Oryzias latipes: one gene and its partner. The protein of the gene in region 1 purifies or fractionates together with the protein of each later gene. This does not show direct contact. Links are inferred from orthologs where the notes say so. Each region holds a gene or a part of one and is shown in the gene's direction. Other genes may lie near its edges. The genes, in order: acad9 and timmdc1.

Region 1 (11,317 bases):
TCAGACGTTAAGATGACATGTCTGAGCTCCCTGGGATTCTACTGAGCAACCCCGGACTACTGCTGGAAACTCTCTGACTTTGTTGACCGGAATTTCAGGGCATTCTGTTGGCGGGAACGGAGGCTCAGAAGAAGAAGTATCTACCCAAGCTGGCATCAGGAGAGCACGTGGCAGCCTTCTGCCTGACAGAGCCTGGGAGGTAAAAGCATCCAACCTTTCTGTGGAGCTTCATTCGTGTTTCTGCTCACAGCCCGACAGCAAAGAGGTGATGGAGCACGGGAATATCTGCCAGCAGTAACAGAGAGAATGCATGTACACACAGCCCCCCCCCCCCCCCCCCCCCCACACACATCTTTTTATCTCACTGAAAGTACACAGGCTTTTATTTCGAAGGAAAGTAGTCGTATATCTTAATAATCTTTCCTCTACAACAAAACACTTTAGCGTCTTTCTATTTTTTCTTTGTCACCCTGTTAGGAAGAGTCTGGATCAAACGATTAACATCATTTTAACTTAAATTTTCAAAATAAAAGTTTAAACAATTTTTTTCATGTCTGAATTTCCCAAAACAAACATTACAGTTTTATGCACTCAGGGAATAGAACACTGAATTGTCTGTGCACATGACAGTGCACGTTTGTGTGCACGTGGCTGACTGTTATCTGGTGTTACAGTGGGAGTGATGCGGCCTCCATTCAGACTCGAGCTACCCTGTCTGAAGATGGAAAACATTACCTGATCAACGGTTCCAAGGTGAGACGGTGGACGCTCACATGGGTGCACGTGTTTGTTTTTTTTACATGTAGGTGTGTTGAGCTTCCTCTTTTGTCTGTCAGTTCTGGATCTCAAACGGAGGGATGGCGGACATCATGACAGTGTTCGCTCGCACTGAGGTGGAGGTGGACGGAGTCAAAAAAGACAAAATCTCAGCCTTTATTGTTGAGAGGGCTTTTGGGGGGATAACCAGCGGCAAGCCAGAGGACAAGCTGGGCATCCGGGGATCCAACAGTAAGTGGGGCGGAGTTGGACTCCAAGCTTTGTCGGGTCTGTGAAGCTGAGCTTTGGTTCTACTTCCAGCTTGTGAGGTGTCCTTTGACAATGTGCCGGTGCCGGTGGAGAATGTAATTGGTGAGATTGGAGGAGGATTCAAGGTAAACTGTGCCCTGCTCTGCAGCCTGACCAGTTGAAGGTGTTTGTCGGTCATTAATGGGAGCTTTGTGATGAACAGATCGCCATGAACATCCTGAACTCTGGAAGGTTCAGCATGGGCAGCTCCTGTGCCGGAATGATCAAAAAGCTGATCGGTAAGCAGATATTCTCTGAAGGTTGTGGTGCTTTTCGAAGTCTCTGCATTTCTATATATTCTCTCCGCAGAGATGGCCTCTGAGTACGCCGCCACCAGGAAGCAGTTTAACAAAAGCCTTAGTGAGTTTGGCCTGATCCAGGTATGCTGTCAGCCTCCTCACTGTAATAAAGCAGCTAACACCCAAGCTAAAAAGTCCTCATGTGTTTCTGCAGGAGAAGTTTGCCTTGATGGCCATCAATGCCTTTGTGATGGAGAGCATGGCTTACCTGACTGCAGGAATGATGGATAGACCTGGAGTTCCAGATTGTTCTCTGGAAGCTGCCATGGTCAAGGTAGATGCAGCCTCCCCCCTCCTGTGCTCTATTTCGTGCTAGGCTTGAGCCCCACCCTGATGTCTCTGTGCCGCGCAGGTGTTCAGCTCAGAGGGAGGCTGGATCTGCGTCAGCGAGGCTCTGCAGGTCCTCGGAGGTCTGGGTTACACCAAGAACTACCCGTATGAGCGCTTCGTCAGGGACTGCCGCATCCTACCCATCTTTGAGGTAAAGATGAGGCAGGGCTGCAGTATGCAGGTGTCACTGTTCAGGATCCGATCAGTGCAGCCTCTGGGTGTCCTGTACTAAAAACTGTCCAAGCTGAACATCAGGATTTCCCCGAATCTCAGGAGAAACTGGGGCCTCAGAGCTGACCAGAAGCCTTATTTATGTCAGTTTCTACACGCAAAAAAGTTAAGGAACGCAGGTGGACATCGCCATTTACAAAGCTTAATGTAAACACTGGTGTAGGAAAAATATATGCTGGAGACATTGCTTCCGTGCGCAGTGAGCAAACCTGTACAAGGACTGCTAAATTAGACATTTGGCGACAAAAAAATAAAATATTACAGCAATTCAGTCATGAATCACACGAACATTTTATCACCACTTTTAACAGGCATTTTCTATCAGTCATTAGGTTCTTATGCAATGACTATTAATGCAATTAAGCTCTCAGTGCTGTGAAGCTGATGGAGATCGTGCAAGAGACCACACAGTAAAAACCAAACTGGGAACTACCAGTATTAGTTTTGATGTCTCAAATATTCAGCAAAACATGTCAAACACCTAGGCTATGTCTGAATTTCCTCACTTCTCCCTAACCCATAAAATATGATATAGTGCAGGACTAGAGCCCTAGTTTTAATGCAACAATGCCCACTAGTTTTCACAGAGACTTCTGGGAAATTTCTAGGATTTTGAATTATTATTTTGTAATACAAAATGCTAACGCACCATATAGTGAGTAGTGAGGGAATTCAGACCTTGTTTCTTCAGTTACATGTAAACTACATCTGTGCTTGAAACTGTGGGTCACTGGATTGTAGTGGCTCCGCTTCCCCCAGCTGAAGACGTCAGGCGCATGTCATCAGCAGGAATCATCAGCTGTAGGGATGTCGTTGACATCTGGTGCGATAAAGTGGAAATTATTAATAAATGCCTCAAAAGTGTTTCCCCATCAAGACTGCAATCTCCTCATCTGTCAGCGAAGTTTCAGCTGTTTACATCATCATATGTAGTTTTCTCTTTTTATGTTGCTTTATTTGACACATACTTCCACACAGAGCAGGCTGGTCCTTCTTATCTTTCTGTGTGTGTCTGCAGGGCACGAACGAGATCCTGAGGATGTACGTCGCCCTCACAGGGATGCAGCACGCCGGCAAAGTCCTCACAGGGAAAATCAAGTACGTCTTCTAACCGATGGGTGCAGAAACTGCAGCCATCAGAAACGAACGCAGCTCCAGCCCTGCTTTTTGTCTGCAGGGAGATGAAGAAAGGAAACATCGGTACGGTCATGGGCATGTTTGGTAAGAAAATGAGGAACTTCTATGGAGGCTCCGTGGACTTGGGTCTGACGGGGAAGGACGGTGTGGTGCACCCCAGCCTGGAGGTAAAGTCTCCCCCTGTGGCATGTTGGTGTGATCTTGCAGTCCATCCACTCCTCTGTCATTTTTGCTTTTTGTTTGAAGGAAAGTGCAAAGAAATTTGAGCAGAACGTCCACCTTTTTGGAACAACAGTGGAGGGTCTGCTGTACAGATATGGAAAGGTAACACTGATCTAAATGAAGCCTTTCAAGGGTTTAATCTGCTCTGCAGGGATGAGGGTTTCTGCTGAAGCTTTGAGCCATGACGTGACTGATCTGGATTCATTTTTCCTCAGACTATCGTGGACGAGCAGCTCATCCTGAAGAAAGTTGCAGATGTGATGATCAACCTATATGCCATGACCGCCGTCCTTTCCAGAGCCAGCCGCTCCATCAGCATCGGCCTCAGGAACCACGACCACGAGGTATGCACACCACAAACGCAGAGTTAGAAGCAAACTACTTTCCACACAGGATCATAGGAAGCTAGTGGAGCTAACCCCCACTGGGCATGCTCAGAGAACTGTGTGGAACTGTGAGACAACTGATTCACTGTGCAGAAAACCTGCTCTAGAATGAAGCTGTGAGATTACTTGGTGATTGAGGATTACACTGAAGAGTCTTCCATTAACCTGGTGTTCAGAGTTCTTAAACTACAGTTTTACAATCTGGTCTTTGTGGAATGATCTGGAAAAAAATAGATTATAATAGTCTTCTGGGTAGTGCTTTAACAAATAAACTGAACCTAAAAGTATTTGTGCTCAGTAACTATTATTGAGGTGGACACTAGGGGGTGCTGTGGGTAAGAAACCCGAATTTAGGGAGTTGTGAGTGTTGAAAGTCAGCAGATGTTTGTGTGTCAGGGAGGAGGCACCATGGAGACCATGCCAGCCCGTCCTGAAGTGTCCTCACCTGCAGACCTCTGATCTCCTCGCCTGCTTCTGAGAATCTTTGCTGTCATGCAGCTGCAGACTTTGCCTTTCTCTCCATTTTCACTCTGCTGCTTTGTTTGTTTTCCAGGTGCTCCTCGCAAACACTTTTTGCAGCGACGCCTATTTCAAAAACAACTACTGGATGGTTCAGCTGGAGAAACGTGAGTCAAACATGAAGCTGTAATTGAGAACAGGCCCCAGCTGTAAAAGACTCCCATGTGTTGTGGGTTTTCCTCCACCCCTGGCTCCTCTCTGTTCCCTCTTCTTCTGATGTTTGTTTCATGCCGAGCTCACCGCAGACGTGAACCTCACACTCCAGAAGTGAGAGTGCTTTCTGTAACTCCCATGTAAATCTATTCCAGACTCTCCGGAGAACAATGACGCCAACATCAAGAAGATCGCCCAGAACGTCCTGCAGAACAGAGCCTACATCTGCTCCCACCCCCTGGAGAGGACGTTCTGAAGTTCCTGCACCGCAGAGCTGCTGTTTCACTCCATCTGCACCCAGATGCTCTTCATACATGACTGTTTTACTATGATTCAGTGGACGAGCTGTTTTTAACATGGATCAGAGTTTGGGAACAAGAAAAAGCCATCAATCTGACCCAAGTGTCTGTAACCTTTTGTGCCCTAAATTGAGAAGTTTGAGGATGGAACAGATTTCTAATGAACTCTTAAATATTGGACAGCTTTGAGTGTCCTTATGTTTGTACAAGAAAAATCTAATTGGATCTCTGCTCAATCCTGCCTGATAAAACACCAGTCCACAGCCAGCATCATGAGCTATACAAGGAAAGAAAAAAAATCCCATCATCAAGCTAACGAAGCATTCATACCGTCTAAAGGGTTCTCACATCTGTAGATGGATTTAATATTGTAACTTAATGTATGATTCAAATGATGTAACATTAAAGAATTTTTTAATTGTACATTTGAGAGCAAAATTCTCTGTGAATGACCCTACTTAGGCTTCTGGATCATTTAAAGTCCCACTCATATTTTTGATCTGTTGTAAATTGTCCCCAATGGTCTTTATGCAGTTTTTAAGCAAAATGAAAAACCTCTCATTTTCTTGGACATATTTTGTGTAGCACGATAGGAGGTCTGAGTTGTGGGCGGGACTGTAAGCACGGAAGGAAGCCTCTGGTGATATCCCATCATCCCTTTCTTAACAGTCTCTCCCCTTAATGCATCTATTTGTCTGCCAGCAAATGTGGTTTTAACCTGTTTAAATGAAAAAGCATTTCTGGTATTGACCTTTATTTTGAATTATGAGACACATATGCTTTCATATATTACAACCGTAAAACAGTTCATTACTAATACTACATTAGCAATTACTCCAGGTGAATTTAGCACAAATTTGTATTTAGCTCCGTCAGGTGTTTGTAGGAGTGAGGTGTGACACAAACCTTTACTTGTTGAGTCAACACGCACAAACAGAACCAGCTGCAACTTGTTAAATGTTTTATTCGTTCATTTATTTGCCTTTACAGGGAAATGCATAACATAGTGCCTAAAATTAATTAATATCCAAAGCTAAAACAACTTTCAAATACACACCCGGCCTGAAATACCCTTTAGTAGTAACCAGTGGTGGTTCTACACTAACTAGAGGAGAGCTGTCATTTCAAGCTGTTGCTCCTCATCTTTGGAACTCCCTCCCTCTGTTGTTGCGTCAATATCGACTCCTTGTGTGTTTTAAATCTCAGGTCAAGAAGTTTTTATTCAGGAGAGCTTTTAGTTAATTTTAGTCCTTGTTTTTCTACGTTTTACTGTGTTTTGTTTTATTATTATTATTATTGTATTTTATTACTTTTTGTGTTTTTAGAGGATTTTATGCTTTCTTTAAAGCACTTTGTGATTCGTTCTGGGAAAAGTGCTATAGAAATAATGATATTCTATTCTATTCTATACTAACTTACTCCCTGGGCGAGTAACACCCCACCCCCCACCCCTGTGTTCCCTATCTTTTATTTGGTCATTTTACACAAAAATGCATGAATTTTCTAGACTTGTAACACGCTTTAGGTTTTGGGCCGAAGAACATAAACATTTACTGAACATACTAAAGCTAAACTTTTACACCTTTTAAACATTTAAAACGTAAATCATTGAACATAAATATGAATTAAAAACAGACAGGAACATAACTCCAGAATAACTCAAGTTAAACCTTTAATAACGTATAATATTTTGCTCTCCATAAAAATATATTCTCTCAAAAATATACAAATATGAACACGCAAAACAAAATAAACAAAGCCTGGAAATATTAATAAGAAAAAGAAATCATGTCTTTCTGTTTTCTTTGCTCTTATAATTTTTTAGAGATGGAGTCCTCCATCATTTTTATCAATCAGTTCATTTCTTGGTGTGTGACGTCCTGTGTGTGTCTTTGTGAAACAGATCAGAAGCATTGGATCTAAAAAAAAAAAACTGTTATTGTGGATATCATTTTGAGGTCTTAAAAAACATTAAAAACTAAATCATAGAACTCATGAATGGGATTACTCCAAAATTATTTGGCATTTCCCTAATTGTGTGTAACACCAACAGTAAAAATCATCCAAAAAACCTCAATCCATTCATAAACATCTATAATTTATTTATGATCTCATAAAGTCCCCCCCATCCCCCGCCTTCCTTCTTGCATACCGTCTCTATGACGGGAGCGCGCAGCGCAGCTGCGGCCTAGAGTTGATTGTTAGAGAGTTCTGATCTTCTGTCCCCCGGCCTAACCCTGGTGGAGGGAACCGGGGCCCTCTGTCACGGCGGCCCTGTCCTTGGGGTGCTGGCTTCCTGGGCCCGGCGGCCCTCTCTCCACGCAGGGAGAGGAATCCCTGAGCTCTCTGGCAAGACCGGGAGCCGGGGATCATATCACATCTGAGCCGGGGGTGTCCGTGTCCCAGTGGCATGGGTTCTGGTCCTGGCCCCTGGGCGCCGGCCTTCTTCGTATTTTCCAACTGCGGGTAAGCCTGGTCGGGCCATATTTATAGCACCCCTTGGGGACCCTTGATCCTCTTGGGCATTCTTCTCCCGGGCGGGGTGGCCGCTCCCTGCCTTGCTCTCTCCTGGACTGACCGTGGCCTGGGGGGGGCTGCCTGGAGCGTGGGGGCGGGTCTTCCCTGGGGGGCCCTGCCTCGTTCCTGGGGCGGAGGGATGCTCAGGACTCCTGGGAGGTGGTGGGCCGCCTGTCTGGGGCTTGGGGTGCCCCCCTGAGGCGGGCCCCTCGTTGTGCCCCCTGGGTGCGCTGGGGAGGCTGCTCTACAGGGTGGGCTGGTGCTTGCACTCTCTACCCCCTGCGCCCCCCTGCTCTCTGGCATTGGGGGCCGCTGTGGCGGTCCCGCTGGCCCTGCTCGGGGTGGCGGATGTGGTTGCCCGGCAGGAGGTGCTTCTCTATCTTCTGTACTGTGCGGGTGTTGGGGGGTCCCGGCTGCCGCTGCTGCTGCAGTGGGGCCCTTGGTAGGGGGGCGGCTGGGTTCTCTCCCTCTTTTTACGTTCCATCATCCACCCCAGAAGAACATAAACACTGACTTGAGCACAGGTGCTATCTCACTTTTGCGCAAACAGTTTGCGTGACTGAATGAAATGTTTCACACGTGTTAGTCTGAATGCATAAGTAAGCGTGTGTGAATGTTAATAATAATAATGGATTGGATTTATCTGCGCTTTTCAAGACACCCAAAGCGCTTACATTGTGTCCATTATTCATTCACTCCTCATTCATACTTGGTGATGGTAAGCTACGGTTGTAGCCACAGCTGCCCTGGGGCAGACTGACAGAGGCGTGGCTGCCATTTCGCGCCTATGGCCCCTCTGACCATCACCGGGACATTCATACACATTCACACACCAGTGGAGCCACGGAGGGTGAAGTGTCTTACCCAAGGACACAACGACATTTTGGCTGGTGGGAGCGGGGATTGAACCGCCAACCCTTCGATCATTGGACGACCCGCTCAACCACCTGAGCCACTGTCGCCCTGTACTATGTTAGCGGTAGTATGTCCATGTGTAACTAAATACACCAACTGGTGCAGCTCGGACACATCCTCAGTGATGAACCCAGGGTCTCGGGGTGTTTTGGGTCTTAGATCATCATACACCCTCACCTGGGCGACCTAGCCTGGGGTGATCAGTCCCCAGCTTGTGTCCGAGGAGCGCTACACCACAAATCTGCCCTTTTGATCCACAGCCACCTAGAAGCTCTTTCTGCTGCCTCACTGATGGTTTTGGTGGCTTTTCTCTCCTGCAACCCTCGAATACCCAGGAGCTTGAGTACTCAGTGCAGGGATTGCCCTGGGAAACCCCTGCAGCCCACTTCAAATGGCTCACAATGTGCCCTCCAGCCACTCATCCTAAAGGCCTCCACCAGTTCAAGTATCTGGTCCTCTTCCCCTCGTTAGCCTCGCACATCCGATCTTCCCAGGGTACTGTAAGTTCTAGCAGCACCACTTGCTTTGTGGCGTCTGATGTTAAAACCAGGTCTGGCCTGAGGGAAGTCTCTGCAATTTGCTCTGGAAACTTCAGCTTTCTCCCCAGGTCCACCTGTAATCTCCAGTCACGAGCTGAGGCTAGCAGCCCAGTTGAGGTCTTGCGCTGTGCTTGTGGTTTCTCTCCTTCCCTGACAAAAGTAATATTGTTCCTTTCTGGGAGCTGGTGTTTGCTTTGCTGAATTCCTATACAGATGGTGGCAGCCACTGCCCTCAAAACCTGAACTTGTTTGTGTGTGAACACTTTTGGAGCCAACAGGTGTGTTTGTAACTTTTGAGTGTGTGTGTGGACAGGCCCCGCCCATTTGAGATTTTTCATAGATTTTAACCTGTCAGTTGTGATTATAAAGCTCCAGCAACTTGTTGCTTTCTGACACTTCATGATCCCCCCCCCCTTATCTGTCATCCTTCTCTCTTCTTTCCTCCTTTTCTTTTCTGTCCGGTCCAACAAAAAATATTTACAAATATAATTAACATGAATAAAGTTTAGCTGAAATTACAAAGTGAGTTTATTTAAATATACATCTGGTGTATCATAAGATTCATAACCCCCGTTGTAAAAGTGAAATATGTCCAACACAAAAGGCTTTCAGCTCTCATCTGTTTGCTTAGCTGTTGGACAGGACTAGTGAAGAAAAAAATAGAGTTGATTGTTAGAGAGAAAAAGACTCCCAATTACCTGTGTTAGTGTGATTCACCCAGGCACTGGTGAGTTGCCCCCCCTCTCGTATTTTTTGACTTGTTATGTTCCAAAGACTCAAAGAGGTGTGGGCGCGAGTGTCTTGCAGCAGAGGGCGGTGGTCACGTGCATGTTGGGTCTGCTGTGTCGGAGCGGGGAATTGTGGGAAATAATCCCCATTGCCTGCTCTGGTCGAAATTGGGTTGAGCACGGGTTTTTCTTCTTCCTGAGTGCCTTTTCATGTGGCTATTTTACGTTGTTTCACTCTTAGTTATTTCATCCTTTTTTTTTATAAGTGTGGAGAGGGGAGGGGATGAAGAGATTGGTGGATGTTCAGTGTCAGCTGTGTCATAATAAAAGGCTGAAGCAGGCATGTCAGAATAAAAACTGAAAGTCTCTTGTTTGTCATAGCTATTTCCATATGTGTAACACTGCGGGCACTGAAGATGCTGCCCCCATCATGTGTCGCCCTGGGCTACCGCTCACCTTGCCCATATCAAACACTGCCACAGGTAGTAACTGTTGAGCATCAAAATTCAAATTGTTTTGAACCATTGTGATTGTTGTGGAGAAAAACCAAATCACAAGCCTAAAGAAACACACAGCAAAAGTCCCGTCAGGAAAACTAATGACTCTCTTTCAACTTTCAAAATATTTTGGAAAAGCAGCAGTAGAGAACCTCAGCAGTGTAATAACGCAGAAAAGACTATTAACTCACTTCCATAACTGCTTTTGCAAGAGACAAAACACCGCACTAATCCAGGATTAAATTCTCACAACTAAAACAGTTTGAGTTTGTCTTAAGTCGGTTTGTGTCGCAGCTTGGTGACCTCTGCTTAGCTCTGAATTGCTGAAGCCTCCTTGCCCCTTTCTTTTGCCCCTGGCCCCCAGCAGCACCCCCTCGGGAGAGCAAATGTATGTGGGGGGGGGGGTCATTGATCATAGAGTCCAGATCCACTCCTGCATGCACGCGGAAAGCAGCTCGCGCAGCTACAATTACGTGATTCAAGAGCGCGCGGAGTTTGGATTGCGCGCGTGCCTGTCCTCAAGCTGGAGAACCGTTAGAGCTCGACCCGAGCGCATGAGAAACGTTTACACACCTGGTGGTAATTAGGTGTCGTGCGCGCGCCCGCAGCCTTTGAGGGGGCGGGTCCTCGTTTATATCTGTTCCTCTGCGCTCCGCGGGTCTGATCCAGCAGCGCGGATGAAATGTTCGGGCATGGACGCGGCGGACTGCAGTGACCCGTACGGCCGACCCGCGCGCAGGACGCAGTGGATCGTCAGCACGCTGGCGTACCACTACGGACTGGACCGCGGGGTCGAGAACGAAATCATAGTTCTGGCCACCGGGCTGGATCAATATCTGCAGGAGATCTTCCACCACCTGGACTACCGAGGCGCGGGCAGGATCCCCGTGGGGGACTTCAGCGCACTGTGCGAAGTTCTGGGACTGAAGCAGGACCAGGAGTGCGCCGGAGTGTTGGAAGGGTTACCCGGCGAGATCTCCTTCAGGCTCTTCCACGCTCGACTGTGCGGATACTTCAGCTCCAAGGCGGGCTGTGGCTACGAGAACGGGCGGCTGCTGGTCGGGGAGGACAGCGAGCACATAGAGACTCAGATCCGGCTGAGGACCCCCCTGAAGCGGCGAGAGAAGCTGCTGTCCGTGGGGGCGAGCGGCCGCTCCTCTCCATGCGCGGAGGAGCGCCACGCCCCCGGCTGCAGACTCGGGTCCTGCTCCAGGGAGTGTTATGAGGAGATCGTGGCACTCGAGGAGGCAGAAGACCGCATAGGAAAGCTGGAGGACGAGAACGCCAGTTTGAGGGAGCTGATTGAGGACATGCGCGCCGCCCTGCAGAGCAGCGACGCCCGCTGCCTGGCCCTTCAGGTGGGAAACCGGCGCTCCTCTTCACCGTCTAGAGCAGTGCCATTTGGATCGATTTTTCACTGAAAAGGGCCACAAAGTCGCAATTCACCCTTCAGAAAAATATGACACTAATTTCTATTTAT
Region 2 (12,932 bases), on another chromosome or scaffold:
CTGGGGGGCTAAGCCGAGCTGAGCTGAGGCTGAGTGCTAACTTTTATGGAGGCTGGGATTGATTTTATGAATGAACATAGTGAAATTGTAACTACACGAGTGTGTTTATTCAGTGAACCAGACCTGCTTTGCCGACAGGAGTTTAGCACAAATCAGTGTAATCCCAACCATTTCACTTCTAAAGTTGGTTACAACGAGACAAAAAAAAGTTTATCTAAGATTTACTAGTATTTTATTATTTGCCTGTTTTATTGTAAAAGGTCAGTTTAAGCTCTTATTTTGAAGCTTTTTGATGAAGCCGGAATGTTCGTCTGCAGGGGCGTGTTTGGTCATTTTGCAGCTCGGGGCGACGCAAGTCCCCCCTGAAAAAAAAACGTTACATTTTTGTTAGTAGTTTTCTACCAAATGTAGCTTAAAAAAAGATGTTTTACTTTTTATTAATTGGGCCATTTTGTTAAAAAAAAAACTTTTTACAAATAACTAGTTTGAAATAAATTACTCGGTTTAGCCGTTAAGGGGCTTGCTTTAAGCTCGTCCCTATTTACTTTATTGAAAAATAATCTAATTTGTACAACGAAAGCAAACGTTCCAACTTTGGCTCCATTATGATGAATGCTATGAAATTTTGAAATAAACAAGATTTTTATTTAACGTTTAAGGATTAAAGTCGTATGTATAAGTGGTCATGACCTTTGAGCAACGTAAAAGTAAAGGATCATGTGACAACAGGTTTCTCCCATTTCTTATTAATATAGTTTACAAACTAAAGGAAGACCATTTAAAGTTGAAAGAACATGAAAAAAATCACAACTTTTGGATGATTAACTTTGCTAATAGCCTTTTAGCTAACTGAGTATCCTAGATGATGCTAAAAGGCTTAATGGTTAATTTTTATTGTAAAAATATGGTCTTTTGATCGATTCTGTTCAGTTTTTTTTGTTTGTTTTTTTGCTCAGCCATTGCAAAATTTGTTGCAAAAAGAAAAATAGGTGTAAAAACAACAACACAAATTTACGTCTGAACGTCTTCTTCAGCCCAAAAGTGGAAGAAAACCCGCGATCGTGTTTCTGCAGCGGTCGGGAGCTACGTCTCGTGTAGCTCTGTCAACTGCAGCTGTCATCTGAGGTGAGTTTTTTTTTTTTTTTCTTTCCGGTCTGCCTGCAGATCCAACATTTTCACAAAACTAACCAGCAGCTCTTGATTTCAGCGTTCTCCAACAGGACTTGCAGCCTTTCAGAGGTGGGATCTCAGAAAGCCTCATGGCTTCCACGGTTCAGCGAGGCATGGGCACCCACTACCAGATCATCCAACACAAGCTGTACAGAGAGCAGAACTGCATGTTCCCTGCAAGGTGCACCCACAGGAACCCGCTTTGCCTTTGATCTGGACGCCAAACGTCAGCACATGCTGATTGGTTCGTCTGGTTTTTTTTTAGGTGCAGCGGCGTGGAGCATTTCATCCTGGAGGTGATTGACCGTCTGCCGGACCTGGAGATGGTGGTAAACGTGAGGGATTACCCTCAGGTGCCGAACTGGATGAGCCCCGCCCTGCCGGTCCTCTCTTTCAGTAAGGTCAGGATCATGACGGGGGGCTTCTTCATGCCTCTAAACCTCTTTTGATAACCCGCGTTTGCTCGGACTGAACAGACTGCCGAGTACCAGGACATCATGTATCCCGCTTGGACGTTTTGGGAAGGTGGCCCCGCTGTGTGGCCCATATACCCCACCGGACTGGGGAGGTGGGACCTGATGAGGACGGATCTTAAAAAGTAAGATGGAGCGGCAGTGCGGACATCCTGGTAGCTGCGAATGTTATTTAAACGTTTGTGAAATTTCTCTTCTTGTGTCGACAGGTCTGCAGCTCAATGGCCCTGGAAAAAAAAGGAGCCCAAAGGATTCTTCAGAGGCTCCAGGTGGGTCAAGCTAACGGGTCATTTGGGACTTTTTACAAATCAAATCCGGTCCACTTTTCACATGTTTTCTGGGAAAAAACAGATTCAAGAAAAAGTTAATTAAACAAATTAAACAAAAAACTACAATAGAGTTTACCTACGTTGGTAAAATGTTGTTTTTTGCAGAAAGAACTTTTTTTTTATTAAAAGAAAAGCGGTTTTACTACCAAACTAAAGTTGCCTTGAAATAATAAATCCTTTAAAAAAATTAAAATGTATTTGATAAAATCTTAAACTAATTGAAATTATAATATTTTTTATGGCGATACCCAACCTTATCAAACACAACAGATTAATAAAACTTTGTTTTTCTATGTTAATACAACACAAAATATTTTTCTGAGGTTGCTGTTGCCTCATTTGGCCACTAGATTTCCTCGTTCTGTTTTAGAAAGAAAACTACAGCTGTGTCCAAATTCCCTAATAAAACTTATTTTACTATATAGCATTTTTTTCCGGGGTTATTGAATCTACAATTCCAAAATCCAGTGCCCTGAAAATTTCCCAGAAGTCTCTGCGAAAAACCAGTGTGCAATGATGCTCATAGACAGAAATGCATTGCATTGTTACGATTTATCATTTGGAAAAGAAAACATTACATTGATTAAAAAAAAAAATCCCAGGTTTTCATCATCAGAGCATCACATGTTCATTAATAGTTTTTGTAAAATGTTTTTTTTTATTAGGTTTTACTGGGTGATGTCATTTGAAACAATATTTTTTAGAAAAACAACAACAAAAAAGGTTTTTGTAGGGGCTAGTGAGATAATACAGATACAGTTTTCCGAGGTGGCGTCTCGGAAAATCGTGCTAGTTTTAGCAGGTTTTGCCCAAGAAATCCTTGTTTTTTTTTAACCTGTATAAAACATTTAGTCTTTCCAGAGTTCTGGATGACCTCACTAAGAACCTTTGTGTTGTAGAACCAGCTCGGAGCGCGATCCGCTCATCCTCCTGTCCAGAGAGGATCCAGAGCTGGTGGATGCAGAGTACACCAAGAACCAGGCCTGGAAGTCAGAGAAGGTCTGCTGGAGGGGGGCTGGAAGTCAGAAATAATTGGCACAGGGGTGGGATTTGATTGTTGTTTGTCTTTGACAGGATACACTGGGAAGACCTCCAGCTGCAGAGATCCCCCTGTTGGATCACTGCAAATACAAGTAAGCTGCACGCCCGACATCCAATCCCCCGCAGCTCTGGTGCATCCAACCACCTATGAACTTCTCCGACAGATATTTGTTCAACTTTCGCGGCGTGGCGGCCAGCTTCCGCCTCAAACACCTCTTCCTCTGCGGCTCCCTGGTCTTCCACGTCGGGGAAGAGTGGCAGGAGTTCTTCTACCCTCAGCTCAAGCCGTGGGTCCACTACATCCCAGTCAAGCAGGATCTGTCAGACGTTCGGTACGAGAAGCTCCGAAAGATTTTATTTTATTTTTTACCTTTTCGTCGGATTCTTAATAATATTTTTTTTTACTTTCAGAGGACTTTTACAGTTCGTCAAAGAGAACGATGATGTGGCACAAGAAATCGCAGAGAGGTAACCCTTCACTGTTTGTCTGAGTTTTCAAAGCCTCCACACAACTAAAAAAGACGTTTGCAGCAGACGCAGCGACTACAGATGTTTGAGTTCTGATCACTTCCTGATGGTATTGTGGTTTCACCATTATTATTATTATTATTTTTTATTCTCCTCATCGTCCTCAGAGGTCAGGAGTTCATCCTCCAGCACCTCCGCATGGAAGACGTCTCTTGTTACTGGGAGCAACTGCTGACCAACTTCAGCCACCTTCTTACCTACAGACCCAGCAGAAGGAAAAACTACAGTCAGATCGTCCACAAATCGCGGAAAACTGAGCTGTGAGGAAGAAACTCAGACGAACCGGGGGCAGCTTAGGCGGGAGACGGATGAATGTAACCGCCACTGTTTTTATTTCCCAAAACTCTATGTTCAGGATCTTTTTCGTTAGTTTTGTTTAGTTTTTTTTAAATAACTGTATTCGTTGATGAAACTTTGTTTGTCTGATTATCTTTGACTTTTTTTCCCTGCAGTTCCTTTGTCTGTAAACCTCTTTTTTTGTTTTTAAAGCTTAAATTCTCATCCCATATGTTTTTCCTAATTATCAAACCAGTAGAACTTGATTTATTTTGGTTTTACACTTAATAAAGAAACGTTTAAATGAATCATATTTTCTATATACCGTACTTTCACGGCTATATGGAACACTTAAGTCTTAGATTTTGTTCAGAGCGCCCTATGGAGCGGCCCTAATGTCTTGTTGCGTGACTCTGATAATGAGGACGTAGGAGAGGACAGCATGAGAACCGGAAGAAGGGAAGTGAGGACGTGAAAGAAGACCCCCCCCCCCCCCCCGAATAGTACAAAGGTGCAGGTACCCTGAAAATACTGCAAAGAGACACGATTATGAAGTGCAGTTGAAACTGCGAGCTATCAGCTACGCGGAGCATCATGGGAATTCAAGATGAATGAATCCATGGAGGAAGCTGATAAACTCTGACAAGTCAAGAAGAAGCAGCTGAGTTTCTGCGGAAACAAGGATTACCACAAAAACATGCTAATCCACGTTACATCTGCAGGTTTTTTTAATTCTAACAAAGTCCGCCGTATTTTAGATGCAAATTTCGGCCAATCGGATCAACCAGAAAGGTTACCGCCCCCTGAACACTGTGCGCAGGAGCGCCGCTCAGTCGATGCGGGGTCGCTCGGTCAGCATTGCGCTTGCGCGGTTGTGAGGTTTGCTAAAGTATGGAAGCATTTGTGTAGCATCATTAAAAATAAAAGTCAAAACCATAAACGCTTTTTTCATTTTCCGAATGAAGCTGCATTTTTTTTTCACTCGCTCAGTTATCTTTGTGCTTCATGGCAGCCATGTATGTAGCCATTAAACATCATACATGAGTTTAAAAAAACATCATTGAGCTTTTAGTTTATAACAAGCCATTTATCCTTCTTAAACGGTCAAAAGACGTTACCGACAGAAATAAAAAATCTATAAATAATAGGTTATATATAATCTGGACCTAAAGTTAGTATGAAATCTTCCGTTGTGCTTGAAATTGTATTAAAGTCAATTTGCACTTCCCACAAAGTTCTATTTTACAAAAGTAGAAAAGTCTAGAAAAAGTCTATTAAATCAGTTATAAAAATAAACAACCGTGTATATTATTCTTTTTTTTTCTTATTAAAGAGCTCAATTTTAATAGGAATTAATTGTTAAAGCTATCTAGAGTTGAAACACTAGCAAAGACAGCAGCAAGTTTCATTCTGACCTGACCTAAAAAGCTAATTCGTGTTGGGTTTTTTTTATTTAAAAGTGACTAAAATAATACTTTTCGGTTTACAATTAACTCAAAAGAACTTAGTATTTAGATCTATAGTTTTCCTACTGCAGGAACTTGTTTAATTTTTTCAGGTTTGTGTACTGATTTCAACATCACGGCGGTTTTTAGCAGAGTTTTCAATAAATAATTCAAAAGCATTTCATACTTTGATATCAAACTGATTAAAACACGTTTTATCATAAAAGTCTATGCAGGTATTTTCTTTTTATTTCATTTTTGCTGCCACGTATGAAAACTGATTGATTTCTCCAGTTTATTTTATACTTAGTCCTCCTAGCCGCAGGGGGCGCTGGCCACGATTGAAGTGCGCATGACAGCAGACATGCGCAGATGTGGGTTCTGCCTGCCAGCTCTGAGTGGAATGAGTGAACCCCTGAAGGAAGGTTATGGAAAGACAAACACATTAATGTGTTTAAATTATAGTTTGTAATTTACAAAGACTAACGCCCCTTTGTGGCGGGATTTCAATTGTAGCCGCTACTGGTAAGATTCTCTTTAATGCTGAAACTAAGAGTTAAATAAATGCCAGCCAATGCTAGCAAATGCTAACAATTAGCTCTATTAAAACTAATTTAAAAATCAATTCAACATTTCCGAGGCATTTTAACTTAATTAAATGTTAGTTTGTGGTTTTGTCGTTCGTTTGAGGAGCCTTTTCTATTTATTTTTTGGATATAAAATGTAACAAATTGGAGTTAAACCTCATAAACCCTTTTTGACTAATTTTAGGTGAAACATTTTGGAGCTTTTTCTCCAAAAATACTTGGGCAACGGAAGTAATTAAGCTAATAAAATGTGGAAATAGAAAAAATAGGTCAGTTTGTAATACTACACTGGCTGAAAATAAAGAAAACAGCCAAAATGGATACAAGTTGATTAGCTGGCAGTGTTAAATGTTCTTCTTTTTAGTAATTTGGTTTCCCTCTTAGTTTCATAGATTCTTAGCCTTCATGTTTTCCTGCTCCAGTACAAACACTGAGCTGATTGGTCAGTATTAGTTTCAGGTGTTTCTTAAAGCAGGAACTCAGGTAAAGATAATGCCCAGATATATTAGTGAAAATCACCTGTTTACTTTATTAAGGCAGATATTGTAAAAACATCATAGTATCATTCATTTCTGTCAATTAAAACAATAAATTCAAATATTTTAATGTCTTCAGAGACGTTTGGGGCGACTCAAATTAATCTTTAATGATGTGAAAATCAACTTTCTTTTTTTCCCCTCTAAAAACCATAAAATAATCCATAATTCTTGCTTTAAATGCAACCTTTTCAAATGTCACTAACTTTAAAATAATGACTAAACGAGGCTCCTGCTCGGTTTTCTGAAACCTTTACAAAATCAAGTGAAAATTGCTCAATTTGTGCTAATTATAATTACAGTTTTTACTAATACAGTTATTTTATTTGTTTACTCTGGAATCTTTTCACCTCCTTTTAGGAACTATTATGTCAAAAATATATTTTAATTATTTTTAAACCAAATTATGTTTTAATATTCTAAATAGATCTGATATATAGTTATTTATTTCATTTTTTATTTTTAAATCTTATTGATGAATTTGGCTGAATTGAACCAAATCACAGAATTAAAATCAACATGTAAGAGGTTGCTGTTACCCCATTTGGCCACCAGAGGTCCCTGTTTAATTTGAACCGTTGCCAGCCATTTGAAGCTTCATGCATCCTTGAATGTTCAGTTTTTTCCCCTTTTCAGTTGATATTCTGTAAAAGGGTAATTTTCTGCATTTTAAAGAAAATGTTTTTTGTCTTATTACTTATTTTCTTTGATGCGGTGTGGACTCTTCAGATCTAAATGTTAAATTTTCATCATAGGATTTACTTCAGGAAAACAGTTTTTTCACCCAAATTTTGTTTTTGCTGTAATTTTTTCTTTTACTATGGGTATATTTGCTAAAGCATGAAAACAGAGGGCATTTATTTTTGTTTATTTTGATTATTTATTTTAAAATCTTCAATACAGATATAAGGAATGATTTGTATGGCTGCTTTTCTTATTTATTTTATGAATGATAATTTTATGTTTTACTTATTCAATGTAAAATATGTTTTTACTCTGCTAAAAAGCAGAGTAGAATGAACCAAATTCAATAGATCTTTTTAATGTTTACCTTTTAAGCGGATAGCGTGAGGTTTCAGCCTCTTTACTCTTGAGTGTTTTGGCCGCCGCCTTTTCCAGCTGCTGAGTTTTGGACGCCGTGTGTGTTCCTGCCAGCGTTTTGTTTGCCCCCCAGCTGTTTGTTCTGAGAGTGCAGCCTTTCAGCCCACAACCATGTGTTTGTGAATCCCCACTGAAGCCTGGCGCCAGCTGAAGTGCGATGCGTCCAGATCAGCCGCTCAGACGGCGGGCAGATTCGCCTCCCCAGGGCGCGGCGAGCACCGGCCCGCCGCGGGGCTCCATCCGGACTGCGAGGCCTCGTTTTTTTGTCTGCTGCCTGCTCCCGAGGGTCCATGCAGCTGACATGACTGCTGGCCAGCATGCACAGACGTGCTCCTCCTCCTCCTCCTCTTCCTCGACCAGCACCCTGCCAGCTAACATTAGGAAGCCAGAACTTCCCGACACAGGATGGGGGCGCATCAGGGATCTGTTTGACAGAAAGTTTGTCTCCTTTTCTTTCCTCACATCTGTTTAATAAACACCTTTTAACATTTTAAACACATCTTCAGCATCAATTACATAAATGATAAATGAAATAAATGTAAATCAGACGCATTGTAACCCCTTCTGAACGTCTCGGGTGTCAAACTTGTGGGTCTCCCTGCAGTGACGTACAATCTTACCCGGAGGAGCTGACCAACCTGATCAAGCACGGGATCATCGGCGCCACCGCCGGCCTCCTCTACGGAGGCATCCCAGCTGCTCGCTTCGCCCGCCAGCGTTATATCCAAGTGAGCCAGGCGGAGTTGTACACCAGCCGAGTGGATGCAGTGGTAGGTTGATGTTCCCGATCAGTAGGCTTTTATTTTCTAAACTTTAATATTTGATAAGACAATTGACTTTATTAGCTTTTGCAGAGCTATGAGAACATTTACAGACCCTCTCTGGTGCAAATGGTGTGTTGAACATGTTCTTATGACATGTTTCCTCATGATAGAGGACATATATAAGCTTAAAGTAGCATTTCTAAGTATTTCTTTATTCAAATCTTTGTAAATAAGGAGCAGATGAAAAAATGCAGTTTGAAAAAGAGCAGTTTTGTGACGTAAAAAATACTCTGGGCGAGCCACGAGCTCCCTCTTCTGAGCTCTCATGAACAAGGAGGGGAAAAGGGGGCGGCGGGTGTGTCCCGGGCCAACGGTCCCGCCCACGTCTCAGACTACAGAAAACAAGAAAGGTTTTTTGATTTTTGGCAAAAATAATCATAATTCAACATCAGGCCAAGTGGTGCAACAACCTGGTTCTCAACAGCAACAAGTCAACTCATTGTGGACTTCAAGGAGGAGAAAAGAGGCTCACGTGACCCAGACAATATCAAGGCTCAGCAGCAGCTGTTCTTTTAAGGCTCCTCTAAAAGAGCCACCTCTTTCTGGTGAGCTTTTCCCGCCGCACAGTAGAGCGGATCCTTCGCAGCTGTGTGACAGTTTTTGGGATGGGAGCTGCTCTGCTGCAGAGCGGAAGCATCTATAGCGCAGGGGTCCCCAAATCCAGGCCTCGAGGGCCGCTGTCCTACATTGAAGCTCCTTATTGGCTAAACACACCTGATCCAGGTAATCGGCAGCAAATGAGGACACCGGCCCTCGAGGCCCCCTGCTTTAGCGGGAGGTGACGCGTCACAGGGGCTTCACTTCCAGCCATAGAGGACATTCAGAAGAAACGCACATAGTATTCTTTTTTGTTTAAAAATCACTTTTTATTTGTTTCCTTTTCCATTGTCTGATACTAGAACAACATTGAAACAGTCTGACATGAAACAAAACAAGGGGGAAAAATATAAAAACAGGTACTGGCTGCAAAAAAAAAGTTGGACCTTAAAAGTGACACAAGGTCTACGTTCACACTGCAGGGCCTTATGCTCAATTCCGATTTTTTTTTTGCAAGGCCGTTCACATTTCCAATTAAATCCGAATTTTTGTGATCTCCTGTGTGACTGTGGAATGACCCAGAAGTGACTCGCATGCGTAGAAGAGTCAACGGTGAACGACGTCACTTGTTGTCTGCCGAAGTAGCTAACGTTAACAATGGATGTCAACAACAGTGTTGTCAACAGCGGAGCTCTTTTTGCATTAATAAATTAATTTTCAAAAAGGAGCAGCACAATTACGATCTTCTTATTTTGAGAAGGCATTGGAGCCAGGATCGTCTGTACCCACTGTTGTGGAATGGGGATGTGAATGTGCTGGGGCCGTGTGTGTGTGTAAGAGAGAGCGTGTGCAGCGAGGTAGAGAATCGGGGGGCCGCGCATTCATTTTGTGTGTTACGAAGGAAGGAGAACGGTAATAAAATAAGGCTTCCCCCAGGATAAATGCTATTGACTCTTTATTAACCCGCTCTGGAGAATCTGAGGGTCCGAACAGGGAGGTGAACCCCGGAGGAGGATCCGCCTTCGGTCCCCTGCGCTTCTGACCACAGTCGGAAAGGGAAAAAAAAAAGTCATTGTGGGAAAGGTTCAACACCACGCTCGGCCATTTCACTGGAAAGTTTTTCAAAAACCGCCTGGTTGCGATAAGAGCCCTTGAGTTTGGCCTAAATAGAGCTGTCACCCCAAATATTAATCCAATCGGGGACATCGCTTCCCTTCCACTGACTGGTCTCAGCAGCATCGTCCGCCATGGTTGATGTTTACGTTCTCGTTGTCACTTTAAAAGTTTTTGTGGTTTAAAAAAAACAATAAAGATATTATTTTGATGTTTTTAAAGATGTTTTCTCTGCTAGATGGTGAGTTTAAATGCCGTTGAAACCAATTGGATCTTTGTGTGGGAAGAGTGACAAAAACAAATCAGTACATTAAGACGTACCAGATTCAAAAAATGTTGCGTTCTTTGTCATTTTCTTGTCTTTTTTTTCATTCATTTCCGACCAAAATGAAGATAATTCAATGTTTCAGTCTAAAACTAATGTTGACCACATGATGCAGAATTTGTACGATACACTTTAAATGTTCCACAAAAATAGTTTTAACGTCTGCTTTTTGTTTTTTATTCCTTTTTCTGTAGCGCTCTTCTCATAACGCAGCCATCCGTGCGTTTGTGCGTTACGGATGGAGGTGGAGCTGGAGAGTTTCTCTGATCGTCACTTTGTTCAGGTGAGCCGCCGGGAGATGATCCGCCAACGTGAGGTTTTAAGATTCAAACGGGGACACGTGTGGTCTGGAGAGACTCTGGCTTCAAATTAAACTCATGTTCTGTCCTTTGTGCCCATTCTTTATCCCTTCAGAGGCTGCATTTAGAACATTTCGTTAATTGACTTTACATTTTAGAGAAAGTGTGTCTTGTTAGTCTACAGTTAGGCTGTAGGCCCCTCCCACAAAAACATCTGACAGCCAGGACAAAAATACAGATTTTTTTTTTTACATAAACTGTTTGTTTTTGGTTAAAGGTTCAGAAGGTCTGGGACAATTTTCTGAGTGTTGTTGGTCTTGTCTCCCGCTGCAGTTCGGTCAGCACCGGCTTGTCCGTGTACCGAGACAAAGACGCCCTCAGCCACTACGTTGCAGCAGGAGGTGAGGACTGTCGGAGCAGAAGCTTCCTGCTCTTTCTAAACTTTAAAGACCCGCTCCAATGAAAACAGTGTTTTTTAACATGTTTTTGTAGTGCTTTTATTGGGATGGTGTGTACAGAAAATTTAGCTTAAAATTACATTTCTAAGTTTTATTTTATTCAAATCAGTGCTCCACTCCATTCATCCACTTGAAAATGTCCAAACTGGACGGCTGGATAGCTCCAATGTTGCTCGCCACTTTTTGTTGCACTGCTAAAAATGCAGGGTTGAGTGATATATTGCTGAATGAAAATCAAATCTTAAAGGGTAATAATTGGCACAGAAAAAATAAAATAAAGAAATGATTAAAGGTGACAAAGTGAAAACAGCTGAACAACAAAAAAGATATTTTAGTGAAAAATGCCAGCGCCGGGTATCGAACCAGCGAGTTTCCCCATGTGTTTCAATGGAGGCAAAAATCCTGGAATATCTTGAAAAGTTCAAGGATTTGAAGGACCAGAAGTCATAGCTAGAAAGAGCTGAACATTTTAATAAATGAATAAATGTTGAATGATTTAAAAAAAATGGCAGAAGATATAATAAAGAAACAGTAAAACGATGTCTTATTGCTGACTGTTCCTTCGCTAACTTCTCTTTATTTCTTCACGTTGAGAAGCTGCTACCGTTGGCCTCTTCCGGCTGAACCTGGGTCTTCGAGGGCTGGTGGCGGGGAGCGTCATCGGAGCGGTTCTGGGGTGAGTTAGACTGAGTCGACCCGCCTCGTTGCAGTTGAACGTCGTTGGCAGAAAACCTGCGTCTCTTCCTGATTGCGGCGAGCGATCTGGCAGCCAGCTGCTCCCCTCCCAGCGACCCTCTGCTAGCCAGCTGAGCTGACCCCCTCCCCCCCCCCTTCCCAAACTCCCGGGTCATTTCTCAGCGCCAGGGGGAGTCGTGTGCAGCGGAGGGGGGAGGGCCACGGCCTCAGCTGGCTCCCCACATGTGAACCATCACGAGTCCTAAAGCCTCCAGTTCTGCTCTGAGCTGCAGATTCAGTCTCTGTTGGCCCCCCTCCTCTTCATCAGCGTTCGTCTGAGTGACCGCCCACCTGGAGCGTTAGACGTGTGCGAACATCCAGGGCAGAGAAAGGAGTAAAGAGCGTCACGCTTCACCGCTCGCCTCCATGTCGTCACCGTTAAAAAAAACACTGCTGCTGCTCAGTGAACTGGTTTCCCTGCAGGATTCCCGTCGGTGCTCTGGTCATCGGCCTGCAGTCTCTGACGGGAGAAACCTTTCGACAGAGGAGGAGGAGAGAGCGGCGAGAGCTGTACGAACACAAGCTGGCTGAATGGTAAGGCGCCATCGCACACGTTCCCCGTTTGATCCAGTGAGGATCAGAGACAAATCTGACATTTCTCTGCATTTAAGGCTCCTGAAGGTTAAAACAAATATCTTTGTGTGGAGAAAAACATAAATGGATCCAAATTTGGTTGAAAAATTCCATCAAACACCTGATGAATAAACACTTTTGAAATGTCCCGATCAGGACGGCGCGTCTGGAGATGACGGACGAGCTGATTTCCAGTCTGGACGGCGCCGCTCAGGAGGAAGAACTACGCAGAGACATTCAGAGGATGCAGGAGCTGCTGAGTTTACCAAAGAACGAGGAGAAGGCAGCGTCCAGCGCCGCCGAAGGTGGGACTTGATGAACGGCGTGGACTTCTTCTGATCCCGACGGACTCGAGTTCAAATCTGGATCTGACTGAATATCTCCTCTGGGGAAAAAAGAAAAAAAAGGATTTTAGGAGCTATAAGTCACTGAAACTTGTGTTATCTTAAAATAGTACAAAGGTTTTTATAAATTGTTGGATGATATTGTAAAAAAACCAGAACAATACATTGACAGTAATGGAAATAAAAGGCACTTTGGAGGATCAAATTAGGGGGAGAAGTTGTGAATGTTTAAGAAATC

Evidence for each region.
Region 2: the proteins of acad9 (region 1) and timmdc1 purify together in Homo sapiens (affinity purification with mass spectrometry; 3 studies listed by BioGRID and IntAct, counting the BioPlex papers as one, with this or other methods). This does not show direct contact. The link is inferred for Oryzias latipes from reciprocal best matches to the Homo sapiens genes ACAD9 and TIMMDC1.

What each region holds. Positions count from the first base shown.
Region 1 is NC_019863.2:25,296,094-25,307,410, forward strand, and holds the end of acad9 (acyl-CoA dehydrogenase family member 9, mitochondrial), read left to right. Parts: intron 1-98; coding exon 99-199; intron 200-674; coding exon 675-753; intron 754-836; coding exon 837-1,008; intron 1,009-1,077; coding exon 1,078-1,151; intron 1,152-1,228; coding exon 1,229-1,304; intron 1,305-1,374; coding exon 1,375-1,445; intron 1,446-1,518; coding exon 1,519-1,638; intron 1,639-1,716; coding exon 1,717-1,845; intron 1,846-2,943; coding exon 2,944-3,023; intron 3,024-3,102; coding exon 3,103-3,229; intron 3,230-3,308; coding exon 3,309-3,386; intron 3,387-3,499; coding exon 3,500-3,628; intron 3,629-4,223; coding exon 4,224-4,296; intron 4,297-4,497; coding exon 4,498-4,598; 3' UTR 4,599-5,064; downstream 5,065-11,317. Other genes in the region: efcc1 (EF-hand and coiled-coil domain-containing protein 1), read left to right, coding at 10,515-11,195. UniProt on the Homo sapiens protein: As part of the MCIA complex, primarily participates in the assembly of the mitochondrial complex I and therefore plays a role in oxidative phosphorylation.
Region 2 is NC_019860.2:16,685,180-16,698,111, reverse strand, and holds the start of timmdc1 (complex I assembly factor TIMMDC1, mitochondrial), read left to right. Parts: upstream 1-5,622; 5' UTR 5,623-5,787; intron 5,788-7,622; 5' UTR 7,623-7,643; coding exon 7,644-7,924; intron 7,925-8,090; coding exon 8,091-8,256; intron 8,257-10,479; coding exon 10,480-10,568; intron 10,569-10,917; coding exon 10,918-10,985; intron 10,986-11,639; coding exon 11,640-11,718; intron 11,719-12,200; coding exon 12,201-12,311; intron 12,312-12,506; coding exon 12,507-12,666; 3' UTR 12,667-12,932. Other genes in the region: poglut1 (protein O-glucosyltransferase 1), read left to right, coding at 1,035-1,125, 1,208-1,351, 1,436-1,571, 1,647-1,768, 1,853-1,912, 2,872-2,971, 3,047-3,105, 3,178-3,345 and 2 more.